2 linked regions of the Sus scrofa genome follow. The protein of the gene in region 2 purifies or fractionates together with the protein of the main gene of each other region. This does not show direct contact. Links are inferred from orthologs where the notes say so. Each region holds a gene or a part of one and is shown on either strand. Other genes may lie near its edges. The genes, in order: PHGDH and EPN1.

What was found.
Region 1: the proteins of EPN1 (region 2) and PHGDH purify together in Homo sapiens (affinity purification with mass spectrometry; 3 studies listed by BioGRID and IntAct, with this or other methods). This does not show direct contact. The link is inferred for Sus scrofa from reciprocal best matches to the Homo sapiens genes EPN1 and PHGDH.

The regions. Positions count from the first base shown.
Region 1 is NC_010446.5:101,448,600-101,457,335, reverse strand, and holds part of PHGDH (D-3-phosphoglycerate dehydrogenase), read left to right. Parts: intron 1-2,035; coding exon 2,036-2,168; intron 2,169-2,708; coding exon 2,709-2,857; intron 2,858-3,740; coding exon 3,741-3,893; intron 3,894-7,584; coding exon 7,585-7,717; intron 7,718-8,736. UniProt on the Homo sapiens protein: Catalyzes the reversible oxidation of 3-phospho-D-glycerate to 3-phosphonooxypyruvate, the first step of the phosphorylated L-serine biosynthesis pathway.
Region 2 is NC_010448.4:59,786,541-59,796,014, reverse strand, and holds the start of EPN1 (epsin-1), read right to left. Parts: upstream 5,893-9,474; 5' UTR 5,787-5,892; intron 2,811-5,786; 5' UTR 2,717-2,810; coding exon 2,489-2,716; intron 1-2,488. Other genes in the region: U2AF2 (splicing factor U2AF 65 kDa subunit), read right to left, coding at 7,241-7,375. UniProt on the Homo sapiens protein: Binds to membranes enriched in phosphatidylinositol 4,5-bisphosphate (PtdIns(4,5)P2). Modifies membrane curvature and facilitates the formation of clathrin-coated invaginations. Regulates receptor-mediated endocytosis.

The sequences.
Region 1 (8,736 bases), on a different chromosome or scaffold from region 2:
TGTTTTCTCAGTGGGGCTGTGGGCCTCTCCACCCCTATGAGAAGATAGGTGTTAGGAGTGCAGGCCTGAGAGTCAGAATACTTGTGTCCTCGCTTTACCACTTGCTACTTCTGTGCCCTTGGCTAAATCATTTAACCTCTGCCTTAGTTTCCTTATCTGTAAAATGGGAAACTAACCCATCAGGTATGGGGGGCCTAGTAAATGCTGAGGATATGTTTGCCCTTCTCAGCAAAGTCTGCATCCTGTCTTCCTTCCCCTGAGCTTTGTCTTCTCCAGCTTTCCCTCCGCCCATCAATACGCCTCAAGCTTTGGCTGCTTTCAGGAGGTTGATGAAGTTTATACCCCCGAGTTTCCTGCCTGCCCCCAGCTCCCAGGAGCCAACCTTCCTTCCTTCTCCGCAGCCTCAGGGAGGTCCCTCTGCTTTGGGGGCCTGCCTCCTCCCCGGCCAGCCCAGACCAAGGGTCTTCCTGTGTCCTCCTCATCCGAGGTGCCTTCATGTCTCACTTTCTTCCTCTTGATGTCCTTCCATTGCCCAATTAAACGGGCCCTGTTGGAAGGATCTGTCGTTAGTCATTTTTACGTCTGTGTGATTAGTCACCAAGTTATACCTTCCAAGTCCAGAAGCACTTCAAGCCTTGTTGAGAGAAACTTCAAGAGAGGAGACCATGCTCTCCCCTCTGGTGACAGCATGGGTGTTCACCCCTTTCCCCAGAGATGAGTCCTTGTTGAGTCCCTGTTGCTGTGGTAACCCCAGGCTGCACACCGCTGCCCTCCTCCCTTAATTATTATTATTAGTAGTAGTAGTATTGTTTTTTTAGAGCCACACCTGCAGCGCTTGGAAATTCCCAGTCTAATAGGAGCTACAGTTGCTGGCCTGCACCAGAGCAACTTGGGATCCGAGCTGTATCTGCTACCTACACCATAGCTCACGGCAACACTGTATCCTTAACCCCCTGAGCAGGGCCAGGGATTGAACCAGCACCCTCATGGATACTAGGTGGTTTTTTTTTTTTTTTCTTTTCTTTTTTGTCTTTTTAGGGCTATACCTGTGGCATATGGAGGTTCCCAGGCTAGGGGTCTAATTGGAGCTGTAGCCACTGGCCTTCCCCAGAGCCATAGCAATGCGGGATCCAAGCTGAGTCTGCAACCTACACCACAGCTCACAGCAACACCAGATCCTTAACCCACTGAGCAAGGCCAGGGTTCGAACACCCAAGCTCTTGGTTCCTAGTCAGATTCGTTAACCACTGAGCCATGACGGGAACTCCCACTAGGCGGTTTCTTAACCCGTCTCCTCCCTCACTTCTTCCTCACTCTGTTGAAGTGGGCAGTGAGGCCTGTTTTTAAGGCCTGGGGGGCCTCTAGCTGCAGCTGGCTTCTCCCCTCCTTGTTCTTGCCCCCTCCGACTGCGTCACTGCTCCCCATGGGATCGCCCTCCCTCACGTGGGCTCCCTGCTTTCCAAGGGCTTCTGAGCTCCACAGGTCCAACCACACACCACCTCCCCATGCACCTGTTTGTGGTTCAGAACTTGGAGGTGGACAGACCCGCCTTTGCACTCTGGCCCTCCCCCTCCGTGTGTCAGCCCCACTCCCTTCAGCTCTAAAGTAGAAAGAATAGTGCAACTCACTTGTGTGGTCATGAGAGGTAAACTGGTGTTGGGGAAGACTTAGCAGTAGTGGAGTTCCTGTGGTGTCTCAGTGGGTTAAGAGCCCAACCAGTATCCATGAGGATGTAGGTTCGATCCCTGGCTTTGCTCACTGGATTAAGGAGCCAGCTTTTCCACAATCTTTGGTGCAGGTTGCAGATGTGACTCAGATATGGCATTGCTGTGGCTGTAGTGTAGGCCAACAGCTGCAGCTCTGATTCAACCCCTAGCCTGGAAACTTCCATATGCCGCCCGTGTGGCCCTGAAAAGAAAGAAAAAATAATGGTAGTGCTTGGTATATGGTCCATGGGCCATAAACGGAGGCCGTGATGAATAATACCAGTACTAATAATTAATAATGACACTTCCTCCCTCTCTCACTTCCCCAGACTATAGGGTATGATCCTATCATTGCTCCAGAGGTCTCGGCCTCCTTTGGTGTGCAGCAGCTGCCCCTGGAGGAGATCTGGCCCCTCTGTGATTTTATCACCGTGCATACACCTCTCCTGCCTTCCACCACAGGTAGGTGTGTCCCTGCCTTGGGGGGTGGCCACAGAAGCCACAGACCAGATAAGGGTGGGTCCCCATCCTAGGCCTCCTGTCTACACTGATGGGGGGGTGGGGGCATCCGGGTCCCAGGAGCATGGAGTGTGGTTGATGCTTCGTTGCACAGCCCTGCTTCAGACTGAGGAGGGGTGAGCTAGCTGGGGAAATGCAGGTGGTGTGGGTGAGCTGAGTGGACACACAGGACCAGTGACCCCACCTGGGGCTCCTCCAGGCCTTTCTGGTTTAAAGACCCACTTGGAAGACGCACTGATATCTCAAGGATGTCTGGGATGTTTTTAAACTGAGTCTGGTCCAAATCCAGAAGAGAATCTCCTGCCCCAGAGCACCTGAGAAGGGAGCAGTGAGACCAGAGAAGCTGGGTCCTGCAGGAAGGAGGCATGTGGGGAAGAGCTGGTGCGGGGGAGGGAGGGGCTGCGGGGTGGAGCGCAGGCGCCTTGCGATGGATCTGAACTCTCCAGGCACCTCGGTCGCAAGAAGTCTCCTTCCTCCCTCCAGGCCTGCTGAACGACAGCACCTTTGCCCTTTGCAAGAAGGGGGTGCGCGTGGTGAACTGTGCTCGCGGAGGGATCGTGGACGAAGGCGCCCTGCTCCGGGCCCTGCAGTCGGGTCAATGCGCTGGAGCCGCGCTCGACGTGTTCACGGAGGTGAGTGGCCGGCCTGGTTCTGGGGCTGGAGCGGAGCAGGGCGCGCTCCCACATGGGGAGCCCAGCTGTGCAGAGGGCTCAGCTTGGGCCTACTGTCTCTAGTGGGAGAAGTTGTGACGCCAAAAATAACACGTTTGTGGTTTGAGGAGCCCTGGCAGAGCTGGGGACAGAGGCGGCCGTGCTGTCTTCTGAGATAGATTTTCAGAGGGACCTGTTCCTGATCTCATGCTAACTTTGGGGGCAGACAGAGCTGCAGATCAGGGGGAGGACTGGGGGCAGGGACAGAAGGGTGTAAGGAACTGTCTCATACCCACTGCCCGCATCCTGCCCTCACCGCCGCCGGAATGATGATGAGTGCATTTCCTGTTCACCCCTCTTAAAAATCCCATCCCTGGCATCAGACATCCAGGGGACAGAGCGTGGGCTTTGTGCTCAGTGGAGGGGCTCTGTGGCCTTGGCAAGTCCTGACCCTCTGAGCCCCTGTAGCACTCAGCGTCTGTTCCCTGCCCTGGGCACACTGTGCATTGGGCTTGTGGTCCTGATCATCTTTCTCAGCGTCTGGAAGCCGGGGTACACCTGACCTTGTTGGTGTTGCCGTCTCCCTAATGCATGCCCTTCTCCCTGCTCTCTTTGGCCTCCTCGTGGCCCTTATGCTCTGTGGCCGGCGCTCTGAGACCTGCGTGGCCAGAATCCACTGGGAACCGGTAGGGTCTTGGGAAGAATGACCAGAAGAGAGGGGGCTTAAGCGACATTTCCACGGGTCCTACATTGTGCCCAGTGAGCAGAAGGCTGGAAGGGGCCCTGGAGGATGGGGAAGAGGTGCCCAGGTGGGCCCCCTGTCATGTCTGTAGCAGCCCACCCAGAGGAGTCTCTTTCTGGGCAGGAACCACCCCGGGACCGGGCCTTGGTGGACCACGAGAAGGTCATCAGCTGCCCCCACCTGGGCGCCAGCACCAGGGAGGCCCAGAGCCGCTGCGGGGAGGAAATCGCCATCCAGTTCGTGGACATGGTGAAGGGGAGGTCCCTGGCCGGCGTTGTAAGTGTGCCATGGGGGGCTGGGCCCAGATGGCGGGGGAGCAGCCGGAGGAGGGCGTGCTGCTGGTGGCAGTGGGGCTGAGCAGTGACCGGATGCAGTGCTGGGAGCTGGAGAGGAGGGACCCGCGTGAGCCGGCGCTCCGGGTGGGGCGGCAGGAGCTGCCCATGCTTGGCCTTGACAGCAGAGGCCGGCAGTGGGGAGCCAGCTCGGCCTGTTACAGTGCGGCCTTGCTGCTGAGATGGTGGCTTGTCCCAGGGCCCTGCCTCCAGAGAAAGGCTCCTTTGTTCTCCATAGGCCCTGGGAGTGAAGGAGGGTGGCTGGCGTGATGGCCGGATGCCTGAGGTGGGGGCGGCTGGGGGACGCCTGTGGAGAGGGCCCTGGTAGGGCGTTCTCACCTCGTGACCCGGAGCATGCGCCTGGCATCTCGTCCCTCTTAGACCCCGGGCCGGGACACGTCCTGCCCCACAGCCTGCATCTCCCCCTCCCCCCAAAGGACCCCTCCACGCCAGCGGGCCCCCTTCCTTTCCCCTAATCATGGCTTCTTGACTGTGCTCACAGCGGGCCCTTCCTGGCATGTGTTTCACCTTCACGCTGAACTTGACCTAGACTTCATTCCTGTTTCATTCGTTCGGTCTTCAGATGGTCCCTAAGCTCCTGGGGGTACCAGATACCGTCATCGCCCTGTGGGGACCTGGCGATGAATAAGGAAGGCACGACTCTGGTTTCAGGGCTCTCCCCAACCCCTCCGTGGAGACACGTTTGGCCTTTCTGGCTCCAGCCCAACCCTTGTGCAATGAGCCACGTTCTCTCTCGTTAGTAACATGTATGAGTTTGTATCTTCGTCCTTAATTAAATTCTCAGTTCTCGAAGGGCAAAAACCAAACCAAAACCAAAACAAACCCAAACCCCAAGCCAGGAGGTAAGCTTCTCTGCAGCTCGTGGGGCACTGCCCGTAGCATTTAACCAATAATGAACGAGGGTGGGAGCGGGGCCAGGGGGTGGTCCCTGACCCCTCTGGCCGACTCTCACTCAGCGCAGGGATTTTCACTTCTGAGGACAGAACTGAGACACAGGATGCTTTGTTCAACGCTGCCGGCGCTGAGTGGAGAGCCTGGCTCCCCAGGCAGTCCTGGCCTCTGCCTCTCGAGAAAGGGGCCCACCGCTGCCCTGCCGCGGGCTCTTCAAGAGCCTGGTGACAGCTCGGCGGTCGACAAAGCCATGTGGTCCATCAGTGTCTGCGCCCTCCTCTCTCTGTGTGTGTCTGTGGGCTCCTCAGAGGAGGGCACAGCTTCTCGCTCCCTTTCCACCCCATGGGCTCCTGAGTGGCTCATTCCTCCCCTGGGGAGGCTGAGGGGTACCCAGGTGAGCTTGAGGTCGTGACCCTTGTGACCCTTGCCACCCAGTCTGGGCTGGCCTCATCCCTTTCCTGTCCACTCTCAAGGCAGTTTGCAGGCCTCAGCACTGCAGCCCTTGTGAGTCATTCCCGTTGTCATTGGGGAGCGGTGGCATTCCAGGCCTTTTCCTGAAGGGGACTCCTTAACACCAGCCCCATCAAGGGGACCCACAAAATGGTCCCCTCTTACATAAGAGGTCAAATCTCGTGGTCAAATAGTCAAACTTTGGGAGATCCTCTTGTGGCTCAGTGGGCTAAGAACCCGACATAGTGTCCTGAGGATACAGGTTTGATCCCTGGCCTCACTCAGTGGGTTCAGGATCTGGCATTGCCATGAGCTGTGGTGTAGGTCGCAGATGTGGCTTGGATCCCGCCTTCGTGTAGGCTGGCAGCTGCAGCTCAGATTCAGACCCTGACCTGGGAACTTCTGTATGCTACAGGTGCAGCCCTAAAAGGAAAACAAAGAAAAAAGGAGTTAAGGTTTAGACAAATTGAATGCTCCGACCACAGCGCCTGGTGGGGTAGAGTAGGCATTCGGAAAGAAAGACGCTTTGTCACCTAGGAACCCTCTCTGTCCCTTGTTCTGTACTGGGTCCTCTCTAAGAGAGCTCACATCTTCTCTAAGCACAGGCACAGACGAGCCTTAGGGTCAGGTTGATGCCCAAAGGCACTGGCTCTTCCCGGAGCCTCTTGCTCATCCTCTGGAGGCCACGGAACGCGCCTGTTACTTGGCCAGCCTGTGATGCGCATGGCCTGGCCCGCACGGGGGCAGAACCAGGCGTAGTGCCGCCTTGGTGGCTTCTCAGTCCAGTGCTTTTCCTCTGGCTGCTGTAGGCGCTCGCCCCCAGCTGTCGCCTGGCGCTGCAGCCCTGGGCTCCTTCCTTCCTCTGGTCCTCGGAGAGGCCAGAGGGGAGCTTGGCCACAGGGAGCTCTCCCACCAGGCCACCCCTCACACCCAAAGGTGCCCTGGGGAGTCCTGCCTCCTCGGTCGTTTCCATGATTGTCACGACTCTCTCTTCTCTAATTTTCTGCCCGTTGTGTCTTTACGAAAACAGGAGTAGAAGTGGCCTTTGCATTACATCTAATAAGTGCCTGATTGATTTGCGGCCATCCCCAGGTTTCTGATTAATTCCTTCTTAGATGGGTCTCTTTGTAAGTCACCTCCGTCAGAGTGGCCGCTTCACTCAGAGCCACAACATCTCGAGCCACGAGATGGAAGAGACGTTTTGATCCAGGATGAGCTGGCTTTGTTTTCAAGCCCCAGTGGGGGGTCTAGCCAGCCAGACCTTGGATTTATCACATTAGAGGATGGTGTGGCTTCTGCCTCCGTCCACCTGCCCAGCACGCCTGGGGTAGAGAAGTTCACCGGAATCACCATTTGAAGACTGATAGCATATCAGAAGTGTAGGAACCCAGGCTTTTAAATTGTGATATTTGGATAGAACGTTTTGTGACAAGGTAAAAACATCTTTTTTTTTTTTTTTTTTTTTTGGCTGCCCCTCCTCTCCCCGCCCCCATGGCATGTGGAAGTTCCAGGGCCAGGGATTGGCCCATCATCCCTACGACAGGGACAATGCTGAATTCCCTAGCCCACTGAGCCCAGGGAACATCTAAAAACACATTTAAAAAAAGTCAAGAGAGAGGAGCTCCCGTGGTGGCACAATGGGATCACTGGCGTTTCTGCAGCACCAGAACACAGGTTCGGTCCCTGGCCTGGCATAGTGGGTCAAAGGAGCGTGGCTAGAGCCACGGCCTAGGTTGCACCAACGGCTCACATCTGATCCCTGGCCTGGGAACTCCACATGCTGCCGGTGAAGCCAAAAAAGAACAAAAATGAATTAAAAAATCAAGATAGAAAATACAAATGAAGGCAAGTGAGCAGTGCCGTCTCAGAGGGACCCACCCCGCCATCCAAGGGATCTGTGACTCCCCATATGTTTTACGTCTCTGACATAAAATCTTCCTCCCTCTGCACAGAAAAACAAGTCCCTGGAGTGGGACAGAGGCTCAGAGAAGAGGGAGCGCCCCCCTGCACCCCCGCTGGCAATGCAAAGTGGGTCTTAGCCTGTGCCCTTTTCTGACCCTGTAGCTCTCCTCAGCTCTAGGAACAAGGTGTCGTCTTGGTGGCTTGATGGAGGTTGTCACCCCCCAGGTACCCAACGCAAGGGGGCCCCGTGCCTTCTGCTCTCCACATGGCGCTAAGTGTCCCCAGTGAGACCTCTCTGGGGGGCTGAGTCTGGCAGGTGTGCCCTGTTGGACCCCTTCCTGGCCTCAGCCCTGCTCCCCCTCTCTCTGCAGGTAAACGCCCAGGCTCTTACCAGTGCCTTCTCTCCACACACCAAGCCTTGGATTGGTCTGGCTGAAGCTCTGGGGGCACTGATGCAAGCCTGGGCTGGGTCCCCCAAAGGGACCATCCAGGTGGTAACACAGGGTGAGCCGGGGACTCTGCAGAGGGAGGGGGAGGGTCGTGGGCCCTGCACCCCACAGGGGTGTGTCTGCTGCAGGCCACAGACCAGCGAGGGACTCGGAGGTGACCGTGTTCACGGGACGCCACGTCTCATGTTCGGTCCGAGTGTGACTCGCTTGCTTCTGAGCGGGGCAGGAGGGGAGGGGCACAGAAAGCCATCGGGAAATATACCTGATTTTCATGCAGCTGTTTATGCAGCATTTTTAAGATGAGCAGGTTTGGGGTGCAAGAGGGACCTCCCCAAGATTCGGAGTTTCACATGAGAGGCAGGGGCATTTGTGAAGGGAGTTTGGGTGAAGCAACAGGACATTTTATTCTGCTGGTGACCTGGTTGCTCACCTGCTGTGCACCCTCCCTTCCGTGAGGCCCAGGCCCTTCTCCACTTGTGAATTGAAAGCCGGGGCGGGTATGTTAGGAGAGGCAGGTGGTGGGGACATTTTGTGCTCTGTGACATTCTAGGGTGGGCTTTCAGGCAAGCAGACATACGAGGGGGCACTGGCCCGGCGGGGGAGCGGGCATGAGGCTGTGTCTCCTGTCTGTGGGGCCACAGGCTCTGGCCGCCTTTGCAGTGGGTCTCCAGAGGCATGTCCTCCATTGGCTGTTGGGCATCTAGTCACTTGGGGAGAGGTTGGGTTTGAGGCAGGTTGACCTTGAGCTTTGCCAGTACTGGGCAGGGGCAGAACCAGGGGTCCCTGCTGGCTGGGTGTCCAGGCCCCAAGGGACGAGGTGGGGAAGTGGGCACGGGTGCTTTAGTCGCCCCTTTGTGCCTCCATTTCCTGAGGCTGCCAAGGTCCTGAGTGCCAGGTAGGGGTGAGTGTAGGACGTTCTTCAAGTGCCCCCTGGGGAATGACGGGCAGGCCAGGGGCAGTGGAGTTGGGCTGAGCTGTGGAGAGGAGTTTCTTAGACCAGTGAAGAGGGTCCCTGGTGACCTGGCCTGGACCCCAGCGCGTCCCGCTGGCTGGCTCTCTGCCCCCGAACAGAAA
Region 2 (9,474 bases):
CAAAGAGCAGAGGGAGGCCAGGCCCGCCAGTGAGCTCTCTGAGCCACCAAGGACGCGCCAGGGAGCCGGCTACGGGTCAGTAACATCTCGCCGGCCTTCGGAGGGAGCCAGGCCCGAATCTGGCAGGGCTCCTGAAGGAGTTAACAGCATTTACCTCTGCAACTGGAGAACAGTTTTTAACTGACCCAGACCTGTCTACATCTTAGAGAAAAAAAGGAAAAAGCAAAAATGTCTCCAGACTCCTGGGCCAGCCTGCGCCTTGGAGGTCAGACCATAAAGACGCACACACACCACACCTAACAGCCGTCATGCTGCGTGGGACCCACAGATCCCAGACAGACGTCCTCACTCCAGTGGAGACAGGGCCTGGGCACCCAACAAATTTTGCGAACTTGTTTTCAGAGCTCTGAGGACTGTGCAATTGCAGTTTAAGAGACCAAGGAGGTGGGCATGAACCATGTATCCAGCAAGGGTGAAGAGAACTCCTGTGGGCCATAGAGCCGTTGTAGGAAGGACCACCGCACACGGCCCTGGACACAGCGAGCCACCGCCACACGCACGCCTCCACCTCCCCGGTGCAACAGCGAACACGGGAGGCCGGCCCGGGGCCCACATGGCCGGAACAGGCTCGGCAGGCAGACGGCCGGCGCAGCGCCTCGGGCCGAGCGTCCTGCCTGCACCCGGCAGGGGCTGCAGGGCTGTGCACACTCAGAACGCGCGCCTCGATGGACCGTCTACCTGCATCGAGTAGGCCGCAGTGTGAGCAGGGACAGGCGCGCTTTCTCTGCAAGGGGCCAGGTGACAGACGCCCCGGCTCTGGGGCCCTGCGGTCTCCATCCCACGAACGCGACCCCACCCCACGGCCGCGTGCGGGTAAAGCTTGATGTACAAAGCCAGGCGGGGGCCCGAGGGCCGTACTTTGCCAAGACCGAGGCCCTGCCATCCCCAGAGAAGTCAGGTGACACAGCCCAGAGTTAACGGGTGGGCTCAGGGGCTCCCCTCCAGGCCCCCCAGTCTCTGTGCCTCAGTTTCCTCACTCAGAAAAAGTACTTCCACTGAGCTTTGCCCACTGCTCTGCCCACTGCAGGCTTCCCCAGCCACCAGCGCCCTCAGGACTCACCTCCCCTCACCCACCAGTCCCCCCACCCCACCAAGCTTCTCCCCCTCTTTCAAGCCCTCAGGCCCCTCCCCGCCGCGCCCCTCCACACCAAGGCTTCCCAGCTTCCCCGCTGCCCTGCCCACTGCCTCACAACTGACTCAAATCACCCGCCCAAGCCCGCTTTGCAGGGAGGGCCTAGAGAGGAGCCAGGGCCAGGAGGCTCAACCCCCAGCTCCAAAGGCAGCTGCCATCTGCCCTTGGCCTCAGCCTCCTCGCCTAGAGAGACAGAGAGTCCGGCACAGGCACCAGTCTGGTCCCTGAGACCGGGAGCCTAACCTGTCTTGTCCACCGCCACACACAGAGCAGGTGACAAAAGGACTCACCCACACTTCTGGGCCTCGCTCGCCAGCCTGGGCCCCAGGAGCTGGATGCACACACAGAGACCCTGGACCGGCCTGAGGCCGCATTGCTGGGAGGGGGGCCTGGCCCTCAGCCCGTGACCTCGGCCCCTTCTTGACTCAACCTTGGGACACCAGGCCCCAGGTCTCCAGGGCAGCAGTCAGACAGGAAACTCAGCCACTGAGTGCCGCCTGCAACCAAGTTCCCTGTACCCAAAACCTGTGGCCTGTCGGTCCACCTGTCCACTGTGCCATTTTGGTAAACAGGCTGAAGCGCCCACTGACACACGCACACTCACTCTGGAAAACTGCAAACACACACAGGTATTTGCGGCCGTCTGCTTTGTAAGAGCAAAACACTGCAAGCCACTTACAATCCATCACAAGGCAGCTGGTCACATCAATCACGACCAGTCCATACGGTGGACAGGAACGAAATTGGAAAAAAAAAAAAGGAACAGACTTTTGTTGCCCTAACAGAGAATGATCCCTAAAATGCTTTTCCTTTTTTAAAACTGCAGCATAACTTACACAGAGTAAAACACACTCTTTCTCATGTACGGTCTTAAGCTCTGGTAACTCACGTGACCGAAGAGCCACTGAGGCAGTGAAGACACAGAGCCACCCCACGGATCCCCAAGAGTCCCGGCGCTGCCCATCTGCCCGGAGCCACACACACATCACCGCAGAGGGCAGAAGCGGGGGACACGGGCTGCCCCTGGGGGAGGAACTGAGCTCCAAACCCAGACGGGTGGGGCCTTCTAAGGGCTCAATCCTGTGAACATGCCATTTCTCCGAACACCCCAAGGCTCAAAATCCCTAAAACGTTACGTCCGTCACCGTCACGGGACAAGACAGAGATTTTACGCGAAGATGCAGAACCCCAGCCCCTCTGAGCCACCAGGAAGGGGGAGGTCCGCGCCCCCCAGTTCTGCGCCCACCCGGAGGGGTCTGCGGCAGTGGCGGCGGCGGCGGCGGGCCAGGCACTGACCTTGTACACGTGCCGCCAGTTCTTGCCGTGGTCGTTGAGCCGCTTCCAGATCATGCTCATTATCTCCGAGAAGGCCACCACGTTGTAGGTGAGGTCGGCGATCTCGGACATGAGGGAGCTGGACGGGCCCCAGGGGTCGTTGCTCGTGGCCTCGCGCACCTTGATCTCAGCCTCCGAGTAGTTGTGGACGATGTTTTTCATCTGGCGCCGCAGCGACGAGGTCGACATGGTGGCGGGCGGCGCGGAAGGGGGCGGCCCCCGGGCGAGCAGCGACGGGGCAGCTGGGGGGGGAGGCCACGACAGTGACGGCAGGTCACCACATCTGTGGAGAGGAGAGGACCCATGGCCACCCGGCCGGAGCCCAGCGCGTGCGGGGCGGAGGCCGAGGTCCTGTCTCCAGCCCTGCTGACCTCCGCCCGAGGCCCCCAGGCATCCCTCAGCTCCTGGAAGGAGCCCGGCTCCTTCCGGCCTGAGGCCCCGCGGAGCCAGGCGGAGTACGCAGGGGCTGACCGCAGGCCCAAGGGGGCTCGCCACCTCCCAGCCCAGCAACTCCTGCACCTCGGTTTTCTCCTCTGGGAAATGGGGCTGCGTTCCGTAACCAGAGAACTGAAGAAAAGCCGGCGATCCGAGGGGTGGCGGGGGGGGGGGGTGCTGTCAGGAGGCAGTCCCCACGCTCTTCCTCCCCCTCTCACGGGGGACTCGCCCCCCCACTCACCCACAGGACTCCGCTGAAACCTCCCAGGCCTGACCCACCCCAACACCGCAGCTGTCGTTCCCAGGGCCACCCTGACAGCAGATTCAGTCGCCCTGTGCTTTTCCTTCCCTTTTTCTTTTTTTTAAGTGGCTACACCCTCTGCATGTGGAAGTTCCCTGCCAGGGACTGAATCCAAGCCACAGCTGAGACCTACACCACATCCTTTCACCCACTGAACCGGGCGGGGGATGGAACTCACGCCTCCGCAGGAACCCAAGCCGCTACAGTCAGGTTCTTACTCCACTGCACCACAGCAGGAACTCCTTCCTCATGATTTTCCTACCGTTTCATTGTGTGGCTGAAGCCGCGCCAAGAGCCCCTGTGGGGCTGTGGACACGGCTTTTCCCATTAGAGGAGCTGGCCCGGAAGAGCCACTCAATAAACAGCACAGGAAGGAAGAGAAGGAGGCAGGACAGGAAAGACCTCTGGAGCAGGGCCTGGGGGGCAGAACCCACTGTAGAAACAAGGACACACAGAGCGGGGGGAGGCCGACAAGGGGAGCAGAGACGGATGGGAGGGAATGCCAGAGGGACGGGGGGTCCCACGGGTGGGAAGGCTCAGGGCAGGAGAGATAAGGACAGCACAGCCCACGGGCCGGGCGCCCTCTTGGTGCCAGGCGGTCAGGGAGCAAGAGCACAAGACGTGCATTATCTCATTAAACACAGCAGGCGGGTAGGGTTCGAACAGAGGAGGCGATGGGGCTCTGGAGGTTAAATGACCCAACCAAGGTCACACGCTAGGCCTGGCAGTGCACACTCAACTCCAGGCCGGCGTGGCTCCCAAACACACGTCTAAGTTAACCTGTGCTGAGAGGAAGGCGATGGGAAACAAACAGAAGGCAAAGGAGGGGTCAGGCGAGTGAGGTCATCACAGCCCTTTGCCTGCGCCAGGTGTGCCTCTCAGTGCCTCACACCTGGAGACGTAACTCCGCCCCACACCTCACAGGGGAGGAAACGAGGCAGACGGTGGTCCGCCCCTCACCCTGCTTCACGGGCCTCGATCCCAGCAGGCTCTGGGCACACACACCATCCACGGACTCGCCCAACATGCTAGCCCAAGACGGAGACCTCCCCCAACCGGAGTCCCAGGGGAGGCAGCTGGCCCCTGCCTTGACCGCAGGAGAGCCAGGCACTTGGAGACAGATGTGAACAGCTGAAAAGCAACAGCCTGGATGCTAAGACAGGCCCAGCCGGACACACTGGCAACAAGAGCTGATGTGACCAACAGAACAGGAGACCAAGAGGACAGGGCATGAAGGTGGAGAAAGAGGCACGGAGAAGCCTGGGCAGACAAAAGACACAGGAAAACAGATAAAGGAACATGGGGAGACAGCGGGGTAGGCAGGCAAAGAGCAAGGACAGAGGCCCTGAAGATAAAAGAGGCAGTAAGCTGGGACTGCGAAAAAGGAGACAAGGAAAATGGGAGCGAAAGGAAAGAACATGAAATCCTGGCCCTCTGGAGATTCAGTTTGCTCAACTCTTAAATGAAGGAAAGGATTTCTACCTGGCAGGCTTGTTGATTAAATACAATGGGTACATAAAGTGCTTGGCACTGCGCCCCACAGATAACAGGAGCTCAATAATGTTGGCTGCTGTTTTAATAGGGGAAAAAAAAAAAAAACAGTATTTCCAAAAGGGAGGCATCAAAAAATGTGGTATCTTAACATCGTGTATTTATACAAGTGTACTGAAGCAACATTCAACTGACAGGGCAAACCTAAGACTCCACAGATACTATGTAGGAGGAAAACAGGTTTTTCCAAAATGAGCTGACCCAAAAATAATTATTAAACTAAATACAAGACAAGCGATACCGCAAAATTCTCCAAGGGGTGCTCCAATGACCCACGTTAAGTGTATGCAAGAGAAAATCTGTAAGTAATAATAACGGAACCCAGAGCTCCCAGCAGTTCACCACACACTTACTATGCACAAGGGCTGGGCACTTTGCCTTGGTGAATGATCACAGCAGCCCTATTATGTAGGAACTCTGAATACCCTAACTTTAAAGACTGGGAAACTGTGGCCTGGAGATGAATTACCAGACAAACATTACAGACTTACAAAAAATGGGCCTCTGATTCCACAGCCGGGTTCTTCATCACTCGGAACTCAAGAACCCAGGGGAAGGGGTTATCCTAGGCCAAGCGACAGACCCCCCGGAGAGGGAGTCGGGGTTGGAGGACAAGAGTACCAGGACAGAAGTAATAGGGGAAGACGGCGGGCCGGGGGAGATGCACAGAGACAGAGCGGAGACAGCTGCGGAGCCTAGACACGGACACTAATCCTGCCCATCACACGCTGAAATGCGACAGAAACGCAGAACCAGACCCGACACGGACAAGCAAGGACAGCGCCGTGTAAAAGCACCGAAACGGACCCGAGCGGCAGCGAGGCCCAGGCGGAGGCCCGCGGGAGGCCCAGGCGCGGACAGAGACGCGGGAGAGTCGGAGCCGCGGGCGGTCCAAGGCCGGCCCAGCGCAGACACACAAAGACCGTGGAGACGCCTGAGCGCGCCCGCCCGCCGCCCGCCGCCCGCACTCACCTGGGCCCCCTCAAGCCGCGCTCCGGGGGGTCATGGCGGGCAGCCCCCCAGCCAGCCCCCGCTCGGCCTCGGTGTCGCTGGGCGCGCGCCGGGCCGCGGGCGGTGGATGCGGAGCCGCGCTTGGACGCACGCGCGGACACACGGAAGACCGCACACCGACGGCCCCGCCGCCCCGCCGCCCGGGAAGGGCGCGGAGAGCCGGGCGGGGGAGGGGAGCCACCGAACAGACGGGAAGCAACCGAAGGCGATGGACCGGAAGCGGAAGTGGCTGCTCGACCCGCCCGGTCGCCCCTCTGCGGCGGCAAGCCTGCGCAGACTCCAGCCCCCAGCCCCCACCTGGCCGCGCGGCGTCACTTCCGGCGCGCTGACCTCGTCGTCAGGCGCCACTCGCCCGGTTGCCGCCGCAGCCTCCAGACCCCGGGAACGCACAGAAAGGGGCGGGGCGCAGCGCGGGGCCGCCGGGCGCGCTCGACCGAACCGGGAAGCCGCGCTGTCCCCAGACCGCCCCCGCACGCCAGTGCCGGACCCTCGGGGCGACCTGAGCTCCGGGCCCACGAGCCCAGACGGCTCCCGCCGCCGCCACCCGCCACCTCAGGCGGGCTCGGCACCCTCCTCTCCAGGGCCACGCCCTACACCGTCCTCCTGGACCAGCAGGCCACGCAGGCGGGGTGTGCCACCTGCAGCGTGCCAAGGGCGCCGGGGCGTCGTGGCCGGGGTGACGCTGAGGACTGCCGGGCCTCCGGGACCGACGCCTCAGCCTAGGCCAAAGGAACCCCGAGAAATGGAAGGGTGGGGGTTACATACACCAGACAAAGAGCAGCTCCATAAAGTAAAATACAACAAAATGTTTAATGAGCAAATTCGTCTTAGCAAATATGAAACTGCCACAGAGAGTAGGAGAGGGACGGGGTGACGGGGCTGGGGGGCAGGTCTGGAGAAACTAAAGTGGAAAGAATCAGCTACATAAGAAACCAAGGACAACACCGCGGAGAGGACCAGAGGCCAAGAGGACGGGAGCTGTGGTCCTGAAAGGGGAGAGGGCAGCGTAACTGGGGCCGGACAACAAAATTCAAAATAGTTTGGCCATAAAATATAAACACGCTACGTTTCTACGGTGGGAGGAGGAAGAGAAAGGGAGTGTAAGGGAGGAAAGACTGTTTCGGAGAGGGGCCGTGGGGATCCGACCCAGCCCTGTTGCGCACCCCGCCCCCCCCTTCCCTCTGTGTGTGTATCTGTGTGGGCCTGTGTGAGCACTCCCCCGTCCCTCCCCGCCCCAAGCCCCACCCCACCCCCCACCCTTAATTGCTGCCATTCCAGTTGCTGCCGGCTGTCAGGCTGTCATTCTGTCATTCGGCTGTCACTCCTCTGCCCATGGTCTTCAGAGGGGGAAAAGAGGGGGAGCGGGAGGGGGAGAAGCCCCCAGCCAGCCCTGCCCCTGCCCTCCCCCGCCGCCTCTACCAGAAGTCCCGGCGGTGGTAAGAGTCGGGGTCACAGTACTTTGTGACAACCACTCTGTTGGCGAACTTGCGACCCGTCAGGCCCTGCATGGCTTTCTGGCAGTCAAACACAGAGGTGAACTCCACGAAGATCTGCGGGAACAAGAGCCAAGGTGTGAAGACCAACCAGCCTCTGCCTTCGAGGATGAGCTGGCTCCCTCACAGCAACCAGCCAGCATCTACCCCCAACTCAGAACTCCCAGGCAGCGAGAGGGGGCTCACTGCCGGTGTGGGGACATTTATCCAAACCTCCTCCAGCACCCCAGGATCAAAGAATGAAACAGAGGAAAGACCTGCAAAGGCAGCTGGAGTCAAGAGCCCCACAGAACAGAGGCCAGGCGTAAACTCAGAGAGAGGCCACTTGTGTTGAGTGTCTCCCCTGCATCAGGCACCATGCTCGGGGGGGGGGGGGGGGGGGTCCCTCCACCACCCAAGGACATGGATGTCTCCCCTGGACAAGGGATGAAGTGAGGAAAACTTGGAAATTTCTATCCAAACCCAGGTTGACTGGAAAGACAAAACCTGAAACCTTGATCTCCTCAGGCTTCTCATCTTGCCTGAGCCACCAGTTTACGGAAGTGTAGAGAGAGGAGGTAAAAGCAGCCTAACTGAGAGCCTGGGGAATCCTGTAAGACAAATGTCCCTATTGCCTCAACAAGCAAAAGAGCTTGGGCAGGGGGGGGAGGTGTAAAGAACTGATTAAGAAAGTCTGAAACCAAATGGCAGGGGTCCCTCGGGTTCCTTATTTCCCTCAACCATGAGGACGTTCCAAAACGGTGAGAAATGTGAACGTGGCTTGGGGAGGCGGATCCTAATGGTTCTCTAGTTAATGTACTGATGGTAGGTATAGCGTGGCTTCATTAAAGTAACATTTTTTTTAAGTCAACTGTTCACAGCAGTAATTCTCAACCAAGTGAAATGTGTCCCCAAGGGACATTTGCCAATGTCTGGAGATGTTTTTCACAGTCACAAAGGCACACACAGTACTCCTGGCACCTAGTGGGTGGAGGCTGCGGATGAGGCTAAACATCCTACAGCAAACAGCACAGACCCAAAGGCAAGAGTTACCAGGCCACCAATTATCAGTAGCTGAGATAGAGAAGCGCGCTTAAGACTCTTGGGGGAAGAGTTTCTGCTGTGGCTCATCAGTTAACGAATCTGACTGGCACCCATGAGGACTCAGGCTCGAGCCCTGGCCTCGCTCAGTGGGTTAAGGATCAGCATTGCCATGAGCTGTGGTGTAGGTCACAGACATGGCTTAGATCCCGTGTTGCTGTGGCTCTGGGTAGGCCGGTGGCTACAGCTCCAAATGAACCCGTAGCCTGGGAACCTCCTTATGTCACAGGTGTGGCCCTAAAGACAAAAAGACAAAAAAAATAAAAAAGAAGAATCTTGGGGGAAACATGATATGTGAAATGTGAAATATTCTGTGTTTCAGTAAAAATGGGGGCCTGATCATGGAAATTAATGAAGACAAGGTAACTTGAACTGGGCAGTGAAGCATGTGTACCAGCACTATATACACCGCGATAGGACGAACACTATGCTGTAACATTATTCCATCGCTATGGCGGCTCCTCCCTCTCTCCCCTTCCTGCGTGCTTGAAAATGATGAAGTTTACAGACAAACAGGTACGCTGATCCCAGAGACCTGGCAGGGTGCTTCCTAGTTTTTCCCAGCACCCCAGCAAGCCAGGCTCCTCCATTCCGGTGCAACGATGAAACTAGCCAGTAGGGACCTAGTGTCTCCAGGGCATGGTGAGGAGGGAACAGGAGAGCAGGTGAAAATAAATGCTGCCTGCCCTCCTCCTCTGGCCCCTGCCCCCCAGAGGTGATGCTGTCCCCCGCTGTTCCCCGGGCAAGCATATCCAGACCACCACCTGAACACTGGGGACCAGTGTGTCCATCTGACCTCACACTTGGAAGGAGCTCTGTCCAGCCATCCCCCACATCTTTGCTGGGGTGTCTCAGGACCTCAAAGCCAGCCCCCCCCAGGACTGACACTGTTCCCCTCTCTTCAACCTGCTCATCTCCCCTGCCTCTCACCTGACTCCTCACCACTCCCGACACACCCAAGTCAGCTCCCACGGTCTGGGCATCTAGAGGCCACGGACTTCTTTGCATCCCCTGCCACTGCTCTAAATCAGGGAACCAGCTTTCACCCAAGTGACCACAAGCTGTCAGTTCCCAAA